Caenorhabditis elegans: one gene and its partner. The protein of the gene in region 1 purifies or fractionates together with the protein of each later gene. This does not show direct contact. Each region holds a gene or a part of one and is shown in the gene's direction. Other genes may lie near its edges. The genes, in order: cct-6 and nsun-2.

What was found.
Region 2: the proteins of cct-6 (region 1) and nsun-2 fractionate together in Caenorhabditis elegans (co-fractionation; one large-scale study listed by BioGRID). This does not show direct contact.

Annotation. Positions count from the first base shown.
Region 1 is NC_003281.10:5,851,349-5,860,890, reverse strand, and holds cct-6 (T-complex protein 1 subunit zeta), read left to right. Parts: upstream 1-5,203; 5' UTR 5,204-5,208; coding exon 5,209-5,345; intron 5,346-5,396; coding exon 5,397-5,460; intron 5,461-5,508; coding exon 5,509-5,643; intron 5,644-5,691; coding exon 5,692-5,864; intron 5,865-5,917; coding exon 5,918-6,633; intron 6,634-6,679; coding exon 6,680-7,074; 3' UTR 7,075-7,361; downstream 7,362-9,542. Other genes in the region: dpf-4 (Peptidase S9 prolyl oligopeptidase catalytic domain-containing protein), read right to left, coding at 1-207, 345-843, 901-1,259; alh-9 (Putative aldehyde dehydrogenase family 7 member A1 homolog), read right to left, coding at 1,942-2,146, 2,195-2,920, 2,969-3,426, 3,476-3,682; ddx-23 (putative ATP-dependent RNA helicase DDX23), read left to right, coding at 7,628-7,699, 7,773-9,350. UniProt on the Caenorhabditis elegans protein: Molecular chaperone; assists the folding of proteins upon ATP hydrolysis. Known to play a role, in vitro, in the folding of actin and tubulin.
Region 2 is NC_003279.8:1,189,447-1,199,085, forward strand, and holds the start of nsun-2 (tRNA (cytosine(34)-C(5))-methyltransferase), read left to right. Parts: upstream 1-3,711; 5' UTR 3,712-3,751; coding exon 3,752-3,996; intron 3,997-6,296; coding exon 6,297-6,646; intron 6,647-9,097; coding exon 9,098-9,639.

The DNA of each region.
Region 1 (9,542 bases):
TTCGCGATGAACTTTTAATGGGAAATTTTTGTTCGCGAGATCGATGGAAATAACGCTTGAAGCTCGTTTTGGTCCAGAAGCAATTGCGAAAAGATCAGAACCATTCTGGTCGAGTGAAAGATATCCAAATACAGTATAGCCTGGAGTTGGAATCTCTACAGTAACATCTCCCGATCGGACATACAAAATTCCGTCTGCGTTCATTACCTGAAATATTTAAATTTCATTAGGTCAATTTAAAAATTCGAATTTTTGTGTTTAGTTCAACTAATTATATTGAAAATTGTAAACTTAGGTTTAAAATATTTGAAGAATGTTTTGAATTTCCAATCTAAAATTCTCACCAAATATTTTTTATTCAGAACATAATTTCTGAAACCAAGCTGCCAAAGCGGGTAGCTGATCTCTCGTTGAATTGGATTCAGGTTCTTCTCGACGGAATTTGGCTCTGCAGCTGATTTATACACATTCCACCAGTTTGTGCTATCATTCACAGTTAAAAGCTCATCACCATCCCAAGTTGGTTCGGAATAGTTGATTTGTTTTCCAGTTCCGTCCTTCAGCGTCACCTCATTGCTGGATTCTCCACCTTTGAGATCAGCCATTCGGATGGATGTCTCGTCCCATGGCATATTTGGAAGGCTCCATTGCATCCAGACAAGCTTTTTTCCATCCGGGGAGACTCTTGGATAGGCGTAAAAGTCGGCTCCGTGAGCTATGACGTTTTGATTCTTGGTTGCTCGGTCGATGGAGATTAGTCGATTTTCGGGAAATTTTGCATCAGCTTGGTGGGTTTCATTAACACAAAATACATGGGTGTCAGTGGCTGAGAAGTCGGAGAATCTGAAAATGTTTTTTATTTATTTTTGAAAGTTATACACCATTTAAATTATCCCTGACCTAAACATTCGATTATTTCCTTCTGCCAATTGCTCAACTCCGGAATCCGCCGACTTTTGATAGAAAACTCCTTCGATCGTAGCAAACAGCACTGATCCATCAGCAAGAACATGTAGAGCACCTCCTCCGTACTCGTGAATTGCAGTTTGAACAGATTGACCATCAGCCCAGCGTGTACGAGTATCTCCATTCGTTGGTTTTGAGTAAAGCTCTCGTTTTCCAGTTACTGAATTCTGTTCAATCCAGTAGACATTGCCACCGACAACTTGCATCTCGCAGATAGACTTGCAATTACATTTTCCGAAGAGATCTGGTGTGATCGGACTATCCCAACTTCCGTAGACAGCTTCAGTTGCCATTTTTCGGGCACTTTTTATGCTGTAAAAATAGTTATTTTAAGAGAAAAATAAATATATTCGAGATAAATTCGTCAATATTTACAATGAAAGCGTTTTTGTAATTGTGAGGTTTGTTTGTTTCCAAAACAATCAATAAAATTCAATTTGACAGACTTTCTAAGTGGATTAGTTTAAAGTTGTTTAAAAACATTTTTAGAAAAAACTCTTAATTTATAAAACAGGCATCACCTAAACATACAAAAATGCCATCATTATAATAATTGTATTTAAAAAAAGTAAAACTTGCGTTGGGGCAGAAAACAAGCGGAAGATTCGGAGAAGAATCTGCGTGAAATTGAATTTATAGTTTTAGGAAATGACTTAAAGTGATGAAACCAATCAGCTTATCGGTTTTCAAGTATGCGTACGGTTTTTCACCAGTCTCGTCAATTTTATGACATATATGCTGAAAATATGTTGCACTTTATTTTGTGGAATGAATAAAAAAGGAAGTTTATTGAACAAACATTAAAAAAAAAACTAAGCATTTGGAATGATATGGCACAAAAATTCAAATCACAAAAGGAGAGGACAAGAGTTGAATTACACGCAATTTTAGAACGGAACTGAGAATAATTATGCATGAAAAAAAAACATCTCAAATTGAATGAGAAATGAATATTTACAGAAAATCTAAACTAAGCTATTCGAATTTAATTCCCTGAGCCAAAGGAAGTTCCTTGCTGTAATTGATCGTGCAGGTGGATCGTCTCATGTACTGCCTCCAGGAGTCGGATCCTGATTCGCGACCTCCACCGGTCTCCTTTTCTCCGCCGAAGGCTCCTCCGATCTCTGCGCCAGATGTGGGAATGTTGACATTGACGATTCCACAGTCACTTCCTTTTGGTCTGAAAATTAAATGTTAGTTTTAAATTCACAATTTCAGAAAATCTCACCCCATCCATTTGAAAACATTTTGAATATTTGTTGTAAATAGAGAAGAACTCAATCCTTGATCAACTTCATTATTGATTGCAATAGCTTCCTCGAGGGTTGAGAACTTCAGAACATAGAGAATTGGGGCAAAAGTCTCGCGAAGAACAACTGGAGAATCGTGCTTCAATCCAGTGACAATTGTTGGGAGAACAAAGTTTCCATCCCTCTCAAGAACTTTTCCACCGTACTCAATCTTTCCTCCAGAAGCAACTGCTTCGGCAACTGAAGCCTTGTACTTTCCAACGGCCTGTTGGTTGTGAAGTGGGCCAATAATTGTGTTGGAATCCAATGGACATCCGATTCTTGATTCAAATTGAGCATAAGCTTTCTTCAATCTCTCGAGAACTTGATCGTAAACCTTATCGTGAACAATGAGTCTTCTCGTGGTTGTACATCTCTGTCCAGCAGTTCCAACGGCGGCGAAAACTGTTGCCGGTACAACCATGTTCAAATCAGCATCCTCGTTAACAATGATAGCATTGTTTCCACCGAGCTCGAGTAGAAGCTTTCCGAAACGAGCCTGAACTTGTTGTCCAACGATCTTTCCAATTTCTGATGAACCGGTGAATGAAACTAGATTGACTCTCTTATCCTTCACAAGAGCTTGACCGACATCACCCTCTCCACAGACAAGGGAACAGAGAGCTGGATTTACATTATTGGCAACAAGAACCTCCTCGACAAGTCTGAAAATAGTTATTTAGTGATTACAATTATGAAATAAGCGAGCTTACTTGGTCACAGCAATAGCTGTCAATGGTGTGGATGGAGCTGGCTTCCAGACAACAGAATTTCCTGTGACAAGAGCTAAAGCGTTATTCCATCCATACACTGCACATGGGAAATTGAAAGCCGAAATCACACCAACAACTCCAAGTGGATTCCATTGTTCGAGAAGAGCGTGTCCTGGACGCTCAGAAGGAAAGATTTTTCCTTCAAGTGATCTAGAGAGTCCAGTAGCGTAGTCGCAAATATCGACGTATTCTTGAACTTCTCCAACTCCTTCGGCAGAAATTTTTCCCATCTCGAGGGACACGAGCTTTCCCAGGTTTTGCAACTGCGTACGGAGCTTGTCTCCGATTTGACGGACGATTTCTCCACGTCGTGGTGCTGGTACCTCGCACCAATCGTTATAAGCCTTTTTAGCTTCAGAGATGGCGATTTCATAGTCTTGTACGTTTCCATTTTGTACCTGGAATTTGAAAGTTTTAAAACGTTTAGGGTATGTTTTTGAAACTTACATTAGCAATAGGGGAGTTATTTGCTGGAGCAAATGACTGAACAACTTGTCCACTCGCCGCCCATTTTCCATGAAAGACTCCGGCGTTGTTCTCCGTGAGACCAAGCTCTTTCAGGAATCCGTACTTTGAATCGTTGATCAGCAATTGCGACGCCATTCTGGTCTGCAAGGTAGCTGCAGACATTCCACTGCTCAACAATCGGTTCATCTGGAAACAAAAATATATTATTGTTAGACGCTTTGAAACAGAAGGTATTAGAAAACGAAGAGGTTAGTGGTCAAAAAACAAGAATGAATTGAAAAATGTTCGAAGGAGATTGAATGAAATGTATGGGCGGAGCGAGACACGGGCAGATTGTTTATGACGACGAAAACTGAGATGAAATTGATTGTTAATCAAGGAATTCAAGGACAGATTGCAGATCAATATCTATAAGACTATAGAATGCTGTAAATTTTATGACGTGGAACATGATACAAGGCTAATGATTTACAGCGGTTACAAGTTGTGTTTTTATGGCAGGCAACGTTTTATATATCTGATTGCAGAAACATTTTTCAAAAAATGCGCTCATAGCTCATGAAAAAAAAAATGCGGCATGCCAGTCCGAGGTAAAAACGAAGAAATGACGAGTCACGTGACTATTAAAAATATGAAACCACTTCGTGATAATTATAATAATTCTTTGATTATTAATATTAACTCATTCCCTTGTCATAAATATCATTTTCTCAGTCGTGATCTGCGGAATAGTAGTATTCTGCGTATTCGCGGCAAAGAAGGCGTGCAGCCGGTTGATATATATTTAGTTTCCGAATCAATGATGATATGAAGACAACCATGATAAAGAAGAACACAATGCAGTGACCACTAAAATTTGTGAAATGGAAATTGTGGAAAATTGCAGTCGCTTGCTCGACACAAAAAGAGCTATTCGGCTTATACATAACTTCAGGATAAAATTAATTCCCAGAAATTCAAATAAAAACACAGATCCACTTAGTTTGTATATGTTTCGTTGAAAAGGCGAATATTCGCACAAATTTCAATCTCTCGCACAATTTTTAACTACGGGAAAGCTAACAACATGGAATTATTGTGTCAACTTAATTGTAAATGTTTTAAAATGTTATTTTCACTGTAGAGTGTATTAAGCAAAATGCATTACATTTTTGAGCAATTTCAAATAAATCCCAATTTGGAAAAACTTGCAAAGAATTTGAATTCCCGGTAATTTTTTTCAAATAAAAACGCTTACCTTCTTAGCTGCTTTTGCAGCAACTGATGCTGCATTGGCAGCGGCCGCGCATCGTTTGCATCGTCTTATTCCCGAAAAGGGTGTATTGGGGCATTTTTACTGCGGAACAATGTAAATAATGAAAAACCTAATTTTGAAACACCGCGTAAATCCTCCCCGAAAAGCGTAGAATGTCTCTGCGTGGTGAGACCCAGTTGCGAAATTGTGTGCGCCTTTAGAAGCGAATTTATTTTCTAGAATAAATTCAAACGAGAATCATTGTTTTTCAAGGATTTCTGTTGAAAGTCTTTATTTTTTATTTAAAAAGTTATGTAATAATACATTTTAGAACCTTTTTGAATTGTAATATGCTCTCGAACCTTTTTATGCGTGTCTATTTTCCTCTTGAATCGTTTTCCAATCTCATTTCTCCGTTTTTTAGTTTTTGTTGGTTTTACTGAGATATTTCATAGTTGAATTCTTGTTTTCAGGTAGTATGTCGTCAATCCAGTGCCTGAACCCGAAAGCTGAGTTAGCTAGGCATGCTGCCGCTCTCGAGCTTAATATTAGTGGAGCTCGTGGACTTCAAGACGTCATGAGATCGAACCTCGGACCAAAGGGAACTCTCAAGATGTGAGAATAAACTGATCAAATGTATAATTGAGACTATAATCACATTTTCAGGCTCGTATCTGGAGCTGGGGATATCAAATTGACGAAGGATGGAAATGTCTTGCTTCACGAAATGGTTTGATCGTTTTGTTCAGATTCAGCGTTTAGCACTATTTAATTTCAGGCGATTCAACATCCAACAGCCTCAATGATTGCCAAGGCTTCGACGGCACAAGACGACGTGACTGGAGATGGAACCACATCCACCGTTCTCCTTATCGGAGAGCTCTTGAAACAAGCCGAATCTCTAGTTCTCGAGGTGATCAATTTCCAAAGTTTAACTTTAAACATTTATTTAAAATTTTAGGGTCTTCATCCACGTATTGTTACTGAAGGCTTCGAGTGGGCTAACACAAAAACCCTCGAGTTGCTTGAAAAGTTCAAGAAAGAGGCTCCCGTTGAGCGTGACCTCCTTGTAGAGGTGTGCCGCACTGCTCTTCGTACCAAACTTCATCAGAAACTTGCTGATCACATCACCGAGTAAGAAACAAACAATTAAAAAGTAGTAAAAAACATTATCTTCTTAATTTCAGATGCGTTGTCGACGCCGTTTTGGCAATCCGTCGTGATGGAGAGGAACCAGATCTTCATATGGTTGAAAAGATGGAAATGCACCACGACAGTGATATGGATACCACACTTGTTCGTGGATTAGTTCTCGATCATGGAGCTCGTCACCCAGATATGCCAAGACACGTTAAAGACGCTTACATTCTCACTTGCAACGTTTCTTTGGAATACGAGAAGACTGAAGTCAACTCGGGACTTTTCTACAAGACCGCCAAGGAACGTGAGGCACTTCTCGCTGCCGAACGTGAATTCATTACTCGTCGTGTTCACAAGATTATTGAGTTGAAGAAGAAGGTTATTGATAATTCTCCAGATGGTAAGAATAAGGGATTCGTTGTTATCAACCAGAAAGGAATCGATCCTCCATCTCTTGACTTGCTTGCTTCCGAAGGAATTCTTGCTCTTCGTCGTGCCAAGAGACGTAACATGGAACGTCTTCAGCTGGCCGTCGGAGGAGAAGCCGTCAACTCAGTTGATGATTTGACTCCAGAGGATCTTGGATGGGCTGGACTCGTTTACGAGCATTCCCTTGGAGAAGAGAAATACACGTTTATCGAGGAATGCCGTGCTCCAAAATCTGTGACTCTTCTTATCAAGGGACCAAACAAGCATACCATCACTCAAATCAAGGATGCTATTCATGATGGACTTCGTGCTGTTTTCAACACCATCGTTGACAGTGAGTTTAAATTTTATTAACTTCTGTTCTAGTAACCTATTTTCAGAGGCTGTTCTCCCTGGAGCTGCTGCTTTCGAAATTGCTGCCTACGTGATGTTGAAAAAAGATGTTGAGAACCTGAAGGGACGTGCCAAGCTCGGAGCTGAAGCGTTTGCTCAAGCTCTTCTCGTTATTCCAAAGACACTGGCCGTAAATGGAGGATATGATGCTCAGGAAACACTTGTTAAGCTTATTGAGGAGAAAACCGCCGCTGGACCAGATATCGCCGTTGGACTCGATCTCGAAACCGGAGGAGCTGTCGAGCCACAAGGAATTTGGGACAATGTGACGGTGAAGAAGAACAGTATCTCGTCGGCGACAGTACTTGCATGCAATCTCTTGCTTGTTGATGAAGTGATGCGCGCTGGTATGACCAACTTGAAGCAGCCACAACCAGAATAAATATTAAAATTGTTTTTCTATTCCCCCCAGTGTGTCCGTTTCTATGATCTGTTGCCGTGTTTGATAATATTCCCCATCCCGTTCAACAAGCCCAACTTTACCGTTTGTTTTTATAGCTTTCTTCGAGCGATAATCAACAAAGATCGATCTGTTTTCTTTTTCTTTATTATCCCCCAATTTCTTAAATTTTCATCAAAATTTATTGCTTTTCATTTGAGAATTTGTTGATTTTTTCATGCACGTTCCTTTTTGATTTTGCGCAATAAAGGCTTCTTGCTTTTAATATTATTATGATTGGTTTCCGGTTGTGTATGTGCGCGAAGCTTTATTTCTATAGAAAATTAATATGATATTCGGAGAATTGACATTTTCGAATGTCCCGCTAAGAGAGCGCGGCCTAACAAATACCACCTCGGTCGCGTGTATTATATACGAAAAGGGTGAATGCATTTCTGTAGGTTTATGTTAAAAATTGGTTTTTTTACATTTTCCCATTGTAAAAGCATATTTTTAATTAGTTTTCCAAACATTTAAGTTCTTAAATTCCAGAGAAATGGCTGCTGAACCTCCATCACTTGAGGAACTTCTGGAAAAGAAGAAAAGAGAAGAAGATGAATTGGCAAAGGTATGTATTATTTTTTAATATCTCAAAAAACATCGCATATTTTTTAAAAACCAAACCATTTTCAAATTTTCAGCCAAAATTTCTGTCAAAAGCCGAGCGGGCCGCATTGGCTCTGAAACGAAGAGAAGAGGAGGTCGCAAAACTGCGTGAAACACAAAAACAAGCTGAAGAAGCTCGAAAAAATTGGGGACGCACCGAAAAAACATCAGACGATAGAAGAGATCGTGGACTTGACCGAGGCAATGATCGTGACAGAGACCGTGAACGGGAACGTGATCGTGATCGTCGACGGGATCGTCGGGAGAGAAGTGGTTCTCGAGATAGACGACGAAGGAGCAGGAGCCGTGATCGTGATGGTGGAAGGCGTCGAGATAGAAGTAGAAGTAGAGATAGAAGGGATCGAAATGATGATCGGAAAAGAGATAGAAACGAGGATAGTGATAATGAAGAAGATGTTAGTAAAATGGCAGATGCTGTTAAAGACAGATATCTTGGAAAACAGAAGGAAAAGAAGAAAAGAGGACGGAGACTTCATGAGAAAAAGTTTGTTTTTGATTGGGATGCTGGAGAGGATACATCACAGGATTATAACAAATTATATCAAAGTCGACATGAAATTCAGTTCTTTGGAAGAGGATCTGTTGCTGGAACGGATGTGAATGCTCAGAAAAAAGAGAAGAACTCGTTCTACCAGGAAATGATGGAAAATCGAAGAACTGTTGATGAGAAAGAGCAAGAGATGCATCGCCTTGAAAAAGAACTGAAAAAAGAAAAGAAAGTGGCTCATGATGATCGTCATTGGAGAATGAAAGAACTTTCTGAGATGTCTGACAGAGATTGGCGTATCTTCCGTGAAGATTTCAATATTTCTATTAAAGGAGGCAGAGTTCCACGACCTCTTCGTAATTGGGAAGAAGCTGGATTTCCAGATGAAGTCTACCAAGCTGTCAAAGAAATTGGTTATCTGGAACCTACACCTATTCAGAGACAAGCCATCCCAATTGGTCTTCAGAATCGTGACGTAATCGGTGTAGCTGAAACTGGATCAGGAAAAACTGCAGCTTTCCTTCTACCGCTGCTTGTATGGATCACAAGCCTTCCAAAAATGGAACGACAAGAACATCGGGACTTGGGTCCATATGCTATTATTATGGCTCCAACAAGAGAATTGGCTCAGCAGATTGAAGAGGAAACCAACAAGTTCGGAAAGCTTCTCGGTATCAAGACCGTTTCAGTAATCGGAGGAGCCAGCAGAGAAGATCAAGGAATGAAGCTTCGAATGGGTGTTGAAGTGGTCATTGCAACACCAGGTCGTCTTCTCGATGTTCTGGAAAATCGATATCTTCTCCTGAATCAGTGTACCTATGTGATCCTTGACGAAGCTGATCGAATGCTTGACATGGGATTTGAACCAGATGTTCAGAAGGTTCTGGAGTACATGCCAGATACAAATATGAAGAAAGATACGGATGAATTCGATAATGAAGAAGCTTTGATGAAGGGATTCTCAACAAGAGAGAAATATCGACAAACTGTCATGTTCACAGCTACAATGTCTTCAGCTATCGAAAGACTTGCCAGACAATATCTCAGAAGACCAGCAGTTGTACATATTGGATCTGCTGGAAAGCCTACAGAAAGAGTTGAACAGGTAATTTATTTTATTCTTGGTAGAAAAGAAAAATAATTATGAGAATCGTTTTTCATATTTCGACATTAAGCTGAACTAGAAAAATTACTAGAACTAAGGCAGCTTCCTAAAGTAGCTTCATAAAAGTTGTTAACTAAAATTTGCTAAAAACTAATTAAGAACACCCAAAAAATTGTTTTTTAACTGAAAAAA
Region 2 (9,639 bases), on another chromosome or scaffold:
TTGGAGCACATTGGCTATCTGTTCCCCCTGTTTTCTTATTGATCTACCTATTTATCTTCGCTATATATATAATCGCTTTAAAAAAATCTTCCAAAAAATCACAAAAAAAAGGACATTTTCCCAAATATTCGCGCATAAATCTCTGAAAATTCACTATTTTTGCTTGATTTTCTCTCGAAAATCCGAAATTTTTAGAAAAATTCCCAAAAAAAAAAAAAAGAAGTTTTCCAACTATTTTCGTCAAAAAATTGAATTTTTCTATTATTCCATCAAAATTCATCATAAAATTTAATTCTTTAGCTGAAAAAATCACAATTTTTCCAATATCTCCCATCAAAATGTGAAAATTTTCCGAAAAAAGGGCTTGTTTTCGCTTGAAATGCAATTTTTTTAAAGAAAAAACAAAATCTTCCAAAAAATTCAAAAACGGGAAATACAGTTTTTTAGCTGAAAAAATCACAATTTTTCCAACATCTCCCTTCAAAATTTGAAAATTTTCCTTTTTTTTTCCCCAATATTCGTAGAAAAATCACTATTTTTGCTTGATTTTCTCTCGAAAATCCAAAATTTCAGAAAAATCGCAAAAACATGAGGTTTTCCAACTATAGTTTTCATCCAAAAATCAGAAAATCACCTTTTTCCATCATTATTCCATCAAAATTCGTTAAACATAATTTTTTGTCGCGAAAGTTAAGATTTTTCCCAAAATCCCTGAGAAAAATCCGAAGTTTTCGAAAAATCGCAAAAAACCAAGTTTTCTAACTATGTTCATCCACCAAAAATCAGAAAATTCAACAAAAAAAGAACAAAAATCGTAAAAAAAAAATTTTTTAGCGCGAAAATTGAGTTTTTCCCCCCAAAATCTCTGGAAAAAATCACTATTTTTGTTTGATTTTCACTCGAAAATTCATCGTTTTTCAAAAAATTCGAAAATCCTAAAAAATTCAGATTTTCCCAGTTTTTCGCGAACATAAATGCAAAATTCTCTGAAAAATCACATTTTCACCAAGTTTTGTCTCAAAAATATCGAAATTTACAAGTTTTTTTAACTAGAAAAATGTCTGAAAATGTCATTTTTAAACATTATTCCTCCCATTGTTAATTTATTTTTTCTTGTTAATCATTTTCCTAAAAATGTTCGGTTTTTTACCACTCATTCCCCCCGTTTTTATGTGTAAACTTTGGTGTTTTTTTTTTAAAATAATTTTACCCCCAATTTTCCAGAAAAAGTCTCAAAAATTGAGATTTTCATATAAAAATCCGGTTTTTCCCGCAAATTTGCCCCCTAAAAATGCAATTTTCCTGGTTTTTGCTTCTTTAAAATCATTATCCTGCTGTGTTTTTTGTCTTTTTCGTTTTTGTGGTATTAAATTTGAATTTCTGGTGTTATTTTTTATTGAATTTGATCTTTTTTTTGGTTAATTTTACCCTATTTTATCTCATTTTTCTCTAGGGTTTCGAATATTGATCTTAAATCAAAATCACCAATTTTTGGCGGATTTCTTGTTTTTTTTTGTTGAGAAATTGAATTTTATTTGAAATTTTCAGGCTTTTCTAATATAAAATTCCCGAAATTTTCAGAGAAAAACCTCAAAAAATTTACTAAACCTTTCGTAATTTTCAGAAAAAAAGTTCACAAAAAATTTTGAAAATTTTCTGGAAATTTCAGATTTATCTCAAAAATTCACAAAAAAATATGAATATGAAATAATTTCTTAAAAATTGGAAATAAATTACAATTTCGTTGAAAATTGCCATGATTTCAGTAAAATTTCAGGCTAATTCACAAAAAATTCGAATTCTGTAAATTTCAACCTAGAAATTCAAACAAAAAAAACTCAGAATAATTTCAGAAAATTCCAGATAATCTGAGAAATTGCCATGTAAAATTGCCGAAAATTGTAGAAAAAAATCGCAAAAAATTGGCAAAAATTTCGGAAAAATCTTTTAAAAAAACCTTGAATATTTCAAGAAAAAATCGCAAAAATCTGAAAAAATTGGCAAAAATTTCGGAAAAATATTCTGAAAAATTCCAAAAACCCTCGAATATTTTACGAAAAAAATTCTTAAAAAATCCGGAAAATTCCCGCAATTTTCAGAATAATCTTTTTTTTTCGGAAACCGCAGAAAATTCTTTAAAAAAAGCTCAAAATTTCTGAAAAATCTTTTTTAAAAAACCTTGAATATTTCACAAAAAAAATCGCAAAAAATCTGAAAAAATTGGCAAAAAAATCCAAACCAAATTTTTGCAGAAGGAAAAATAATGAAAAAGTGAATTGATATTTTTGGGAATTATTAAAAAACCTGAAAATTTTCCAAAAAACGCTATTTAAAATTGCCGAAAATTTCAGAAATGTTTTTTTGAAAAATTCAAAAACTCGAAAAATTGGCAAAAAAAGGGAAAAAAATTTATAAACTTCTCGAACATTTCTGAAAAGTCTAAAAAAATCCCCAAAAAATTTGAAAAATTGTGAAAATTTCAAAAAAATCTGAAAATTTCCAGAAAATTCACGAAAACAATCTGAAAATTTTTCGACATTTTTAGAATAAACTAGAACCGCCCAAAAATTCGAAAACAATTTTTTAATAATTCTAAATAATCTCAAACCAAACAAAAAAAATCTGAAAAATTTTCGAAATCTTTTTGAAAATTAAAAAAAAAATCCCAAAAATTCTGTAAATTCCCTGAGAAATTTCCGAAATTTTTTTTGTAAAAATTGTCCTGTAAAATTCTCGAAAATTTCTGAAAAATCAAAAAATAAACTTTGAATATTTCACAAAAAAAATTCCCGAAAATTGGCAAAAATTTCTGAAAAATATTCGAAAAAATGCAGTAAAATGCTCGAAAGTTCCAATTATTTCTAAAAATATTTTTGCAGAAGGAATTACAATTTCCTTTTAAAAAAAAGAAACAGAAAAATTCTTTTAAAAATCTGAAAAAAAACGAAAATTTCTGAAAAAAAAATCCAAAAACCCTCGAGTATTTCACGAAAAATATCCCAAAAATTCGAACAAAAATCAGTAAAATTCCCGCAATTTTCAGAATAATCTTTTTTTTCAGAAACTACAGAAAATTCTTTTAAAAAAAGCTCAAAATTTCTGAAAAATCTTTTTTAAAAAACCTTGAATATTTCACAAAAAAAATCGCAAAAAATCTGTAAAAATTGGCTAAAATTTCATTAAAATATTCTGAAAAAATCCATAAAAACCTCGAATATTTTACGAAAAAAAATCCTTAAAATCTGAAAAATTGGAGAACACTTCAAAAAAAAATTCAAAAAATTGGCAAAAAATAGAAATTTTTGTGAAGGAATGGTTTCAACAGGAATTTAAAAATTGTTTTTCAGAGTCTTTTTTTCAAAAATTTCTTTTTTTTTCCTATAGTGAAATATTCAAAGTTTATTTTTTGATTTTTCAGAAATTTTCGAGAATTTTATAGATTTTTTTCTGAAATTTAATATTTTTTCGACAATTTTCTGGGGGTTCTTTTTGAAAAGATTTTACAATTTTTTGCCAACTTTTTGAGTTTTTGGATTTTTTCAGAATTTTTTTTCTGAAATTTCCGGCAATTTTACAGGACAATTTTTACAAAAAAAATTTCGGAAATTTCTCAGGGAATTTACAGAATTTTTGGGATTTTTTTCCAAAATTTATTCTCAATAGAAATTACTAACAAAACCCGAAAATTTGCAATTTTTCTCAAAATTTCAGGGTTCAACGTTCGCCGCTAGAAAAAAACGCGCCAAAAACGATGGTTCACAGTAGCCGCCGCAAGTTCAAGAGCAAGAATAAGGGCCATGAGCCGAGAGAAAATGTTTGGCGTGACGATCGTGATGCTCCAGGCAATCAGGGATATCGTATGGTGGAGAAGGAGAATGAAAAGTATTGGCAATATTATAAGGAGCAGAATGTCTTTCCATTGGAGCAATTTGACGAGTTTCGGGCGGCTCTTCAACGAGATTTGCCTGTTTCTTTCAGATTTCAGGGTTGTCATAAGTTCGTTTTTTTTGAAAATTGATTGGATGGACAAAAAATGTGTGAAAAAATTAATTTTCCACGGATTTTCAGTTAAAATTATGAATTTCAACGTAAAATTCACAAAATTTGGCCTAAAACGCTCCAATTTTGTGATTCTTTTTTTGCTCAAAAACAATTAGAAAAAAATTGATTTCCCACGAATTTTCAGAGAAAGAACTGAAAAATTTTCCAGACATTCTGATTTTTTTCAATTTTTTTGCTAAAAAAGTTCAAAAAATTTTTTACCGACATTGAATTGATGAAAAATTCAATTTTTTGCAAAAAAAAATGGACATTCTCGCTGAAATTTAATTAAAAATTTGAAAATTGACAAAAAATTCTAAATTTCTAAAAAAAATTACCGGAAAATTTGAAAAATTTTTGGAAAATTAACAAAAAAAAAATAAAATTTTTGCAAATTTCGCAGAAACTGCAAAAAATTCTAAATTTTCCCGGAAATTATCAGAAAATTTCAAATATTAGTGAAAAATTTGACGAAAATTATGAAATTATTAACGGAAATTTCGAAATTTTGCAGAAAGCTGATAAAAATTCAGATTTTTGTATAAACTCAACGAAAAATTCCAAATTTTTGCGGAAATTTAATTGAAAATTCAGAAAAAAACATATAAAGAGCAGAATGTCTTTCCATTGGAGCAATTTGCCTGTTTCTTTTAGATTTCAGGGTTGTCATAAGTTCGTTTTTTGAAAATTGATTGGATGGACAAAAAATCTGTGAAAAAATTAATTTTCCACGAATTTTCAGTTAAAATTATGAATTTCAACGTAAAATTCAAAAAATTTGGCCTAAAACGCTCCAATTTTGTGATTCTTTTTTTGCTCAAAAACAATTAGAAAAAAAATTGATTTTCGACGAATTTTTTGGAGGAAAAACTGAATTTTTAAGGTTTTTTAGCTCAAAATTTGGATATTTAAAAACCCAAAATTTGGATATTTTTGATTTAAACAAATTAAAATTCCATCTTTTCCTCTAAACATTTGGGGAAAACTGTAAAAAATCTGATTTTCCAAGGGTTTTAGTAAAAATTTTGCGAATAAACTGTTAGAAAATTCAAAATTTCAGTGGAAAAGTCAACGAAAATTTTAAAAAATTTCACAGAAAACTGTTGGAAAACTTAAAATTTAACGAAAAATCCAAAAACAAGATCTACCAAAAGAAGATCTACGTTTTCAGGATCTGGCACCGTGCCAACTGCGGTTTTCTCGATGAAAAACGTAACAACGATGCTCCGATGTTACGCGTCGCGTGTTGTTAAGCGTTTCTTCTAGAAGAAAATTTCAAAAAATATCTTTCTGAACGCTAAACAACACGCGACGCGTAACATCGGAGCATCGTTGTTACGTTTTTCATCGAGAAAACCGCAGTTGGCACGGTGCCAGATCCTGAAAACGTAGATCTTCTTTTCGTAGATCTCCTTCTCGTAGATCTTGTTTTCGTAGATCTTGTTTTTGAACAGATCTTCAAAACGTGGTGCCTCGAAAAATTAAAAAAATTTTGCAGAAAATTGACGAAAAATTCAAAATTTTAGAGGAAAATCAAAAAAAATCATTGAATTTTTCTGCCGAAATTTAATGAAAAATTCGAAATTTTTGAACACTATTTAACAAAAAATTCAAAAATTTTGCAAAGAAAAATAACGAAAAAATGTTAAAAATTTAGTAGAAAACTGACGAAATATTAACAATGTTTGCTGAAATTAAACTGAAAATTACAAAAATTTGCAGAAAACTAACGAAAAAAAAATGTTTGGTGAAAAATCAACGAGAATTCCAAATTTTTCCAAAAAATTAGCGAAAAATTTTAATATCATGCAGAAAACTGATGAAAAATTGAAAATTTTAGTGGAAAACTGACGGGAAATTCAGTGTTTTTTTGCCGAAATTTAACGAAAAAATTTAACAAAATTCAAAAATTTTGCAAAAAACTGATGGACAATTCAATTTTTTAGTGGTAAATTAACGAAAAAGTTTGAAAAATCTTGCAGAAAACTGACCAAATATAAAAAATTTTCGCTGAAATTTAATAAAAAATTTAAAAAATCAAAAGAAAATTGTCGAAAATTCAAAATGGTTCCTAAAAATTAACGAAAAATTCAATTTTTTCAAAAAAAAATTCTGAAAAAATCCAAAAAATCCTGAAAGCTCTGAAAAATAGGCAAAAATTTCATTTAAAAATTCCCCCAAAAAAATCTCAAAAATTCCGAAATTTTTGATGAAATTTTCAACTGAAAATTCAACAAAAAAAAACTTGTTTACAGAGACCGCGAGCAGCTGATCCATGAGATGGAAAATCGATTTTTCGGGAAAATCATGGAAGCCGGAGACACTGCTGTATGTGTTCCAAAAAGTCTTCCATGGTACAAAGAAGCCTATCAAACGCCAATGTCACGTACCGCTGTCCGAAGTCATCCGATCCTTGCACAACTTCACAATTTCCTTGTCACAGAGGCTGAACTCGGAAATTTGTCCCGACAGGAGGCGGTTTCAATGATTCCACCACTTCTTTTGGCTCCAACTTCTGAGCATTTTGTGCTTGATTTGTGTGCGGCTCCGGGAAGCAAGACCACACAACTTTTGGAAATGATTCATGAGAACGAGGAGAATCCGAGTACGAAAATCGCCGAAAAAATTCCAAAAAAAATTAGTGATTTTCAGAATAATCGAAAAAAAATTCTTGAAAATTTCTGAAAATTCGAAAAAAAAAATTTCGAAAAAAAATCAATAAAATTCTCGTAATTTTCATAAAAATCGGAAACCGCATTCCCGAAAATTAAAAAAAAAAGTACAAATCAACGAAATTTTTTCCAAAAAGTTTCAGAAAATCGCAAAAAAATTCATAAAATTTTCGAAAATTTCTGAAAAATTAGTGAAAATTTAAATTTCATTAAAAAAAAATCTTTAAAATTCCAGAAAATTCACGAAGACAATTTTTTAAAAATAATTCTAAACAATCTCACAAGACCAAACAGACCAAACAAAAAAATTAAAAAAAAGAAAATTTTTGAAAAAAATCCTAAAAACTAAAAAACATTTTGTAAATATGCCGAAAAGTTCATTTAAAAAATTCGAAAAAAAAATCCAAAACCCCTCGAATATTTCAGAAAATAATTCGAAAAAAAGCTCAAAAAATTGGCAAAAATATAGGCAAAGTTTCAAAGAAAAAATCAGTAAAATTCTCAAAATATTACACAAAAAAAGTCCCCAAAAACTCAAAAAAAATTGGCACACATTTTCATTAAAAATCCAAAAAAAAAAATCTAAAAACCCTCGAATATTTAACGAAAAATATCCTAAAAATTCGAAAAAATCAGTAAAATCTCTAATTTTCAGAATAATCTTTTTTTCAAAAAACCACAGAAAATTCTCGAGAAAAAGCTGAAAATTTCAAAAAATCAGCCAATTTTTTGCAAAGAAACGGAAAAAATCCAAAAAACTCATGGAAAATTCGAAAATAAAATCTCAAAAATGTTAGAAAAATCTCTACACATTTTTCGAAAATTTCTGAAATTTTTTTTAAAAACTCCCGAGAATTGCAAAAATTCCCAAAAAAAATCTAAAAAATTCCAGAAAACACGAAAAAATTTGAAAATGTTTTGAAATTTTCAGAATAATCTAAAACCGCTGAAAATTCTGAAACTATTTTTTTTTTAATTGAAAAAAAAATAAATTAAGTTTCACAAGACATTTTGAAAATTTTGGAAAAAATCCCAAAAATTCTGTAAATTTCAACTTAAAAATTAGAAAACAAGCTCAGAATATTTTCAAAAAATTCCAGAAATAATCTTATAAATTTTTCGAAAAATGTCTTGTAAAATTGCCAAAAATTTCTGAAAATAATTCTGAAAAATCCCAAAAATTGGCAAAATTTCTGAAAAATCTTTTAAAAAACCTTGAATATTTCACCAAAAATTCCCAAAACTCTACAAATTTGCAAAAATTTCAAAAAAAAAATTCAAAAACCCTCGAATTTGCAAAAATTTCACGAAAAAAAATTCCAAAAAATTCGAAAAAATCAGTAAAATTCCCGCAATTTTCAGAATAATCACTAAACAAAAACCACAGAAAATTCCTTTATAAAAAAAACTCAAACTTTCAAAATTTCTGAAAAATCATTTAAAAAAACCTTGAATATTTCAGAGAAAATATGCCAAAAATTTGAAAAAATCTTGCAATTTTCAGAATAATCTTTTTTTTTTCAAAAAAGAACCACAGAAAGTACCAAAAAAAAAACTGAAAATTTCAAAAAATCACACTGCAACTTTTTTCGAACGAGGGACGAGGCAAAAAGGTTTCTAGGCCATGGCCGAGGGGCCGACAAGTTTCAGCGGCCATTTATACTGCTTTGTTTTCCGCCTGTTTTCTTTCGTTTTTCACAGTTTTTTCCCGTTTTTTCTTATTAAAACTGATGAATAAATACTTTTTGCAGATGCTAAAACAATTTCCAAGTAAAAAAATTATGTATTCAGTGGGCAAGCAGCGGTGAAAGTGGTCAATGCAATATGATGGATTACGGGAATACAAAACCTAAACTTTTTCTTAAACATGATACATATGCTGCTCTGATGCTGAAGCTACCTGATTTTCATAACGAGACCGCTGAAAAAGTTTTGAGGTTTCCAAAATTCAACTTTTTTGGTGGAAAAGTAGAGATTTTCGCACAAAGAGTTGAATTTTGAAAATCTCAAAACTTTTTCAGCGGTCTCGTTATGAAAATCAGGTAATTTCAGCATCTAAGCATCATATGTATCATGTTTCAGAAAAAGTTTAGGTTTTGTATTACCGTAATCCATCATTTTACATTGACCACTTTCACCGCTACTTACAGACTGAATACATATTTTTTTCATCTGGAAATTATTTTAGCATTAGCAAAAAATATTTATTTATCAGTTTTGATAAGAAAACACGGGAAAAATTGGTGAAAAACAAGAGAAAACAATGCAAGTACAAAATGTCGTAAAATGCGGTGTTTTGTGTGCAAACACCGATTTTTCGCATTTTTTCTCGGCCCTCGTTCGAAAAAAGTTGCAGTGAATCAGCCAAAATTTGTTTTTTGCAGAAGGAATGGTGATCGCAAACGACGTCGACATGAAACGCTGCTACATGCTAATCCATCACACACTGAAACGTTTCCGAACAGCCGCGTGTGCTGTAACCTGCGAAGACGCCGCCCGCTTCCCACACATCTCCGACTCGGATGGTGGCCTAATCCAGTTCGATCGTGTCCTCGCCGACGTCATTTGCTCGGGAGACGGCACACTTCGAAAGAATCCAGAAATCTGGAAGAAATGGACTCCACAAGATGGTCTTGGATTACATCGAATGCAGATTGCAATCGCGAGAAAAGGAGCTCAACAACTGAAAGTCGGCGGGCGAATGGTCTATTCGACGTGCTCAATGAATCCGATTGAGGATGAAGCTGTAGTTGCTCAGTTGCTCAGAGATTCAAAAGGATCACTGAAGCTTGTGGATACTTCATCATTGCTCCCAGAGCTTAAACGAGAGACGGGAGTTGTTCAGTGGAAGGTTTTTGATAGAGATATGAAGTTGTACAAGTCGTTGGAGGATATTAGTGAGGAAAAGATGAAAAAAGTGATTGTT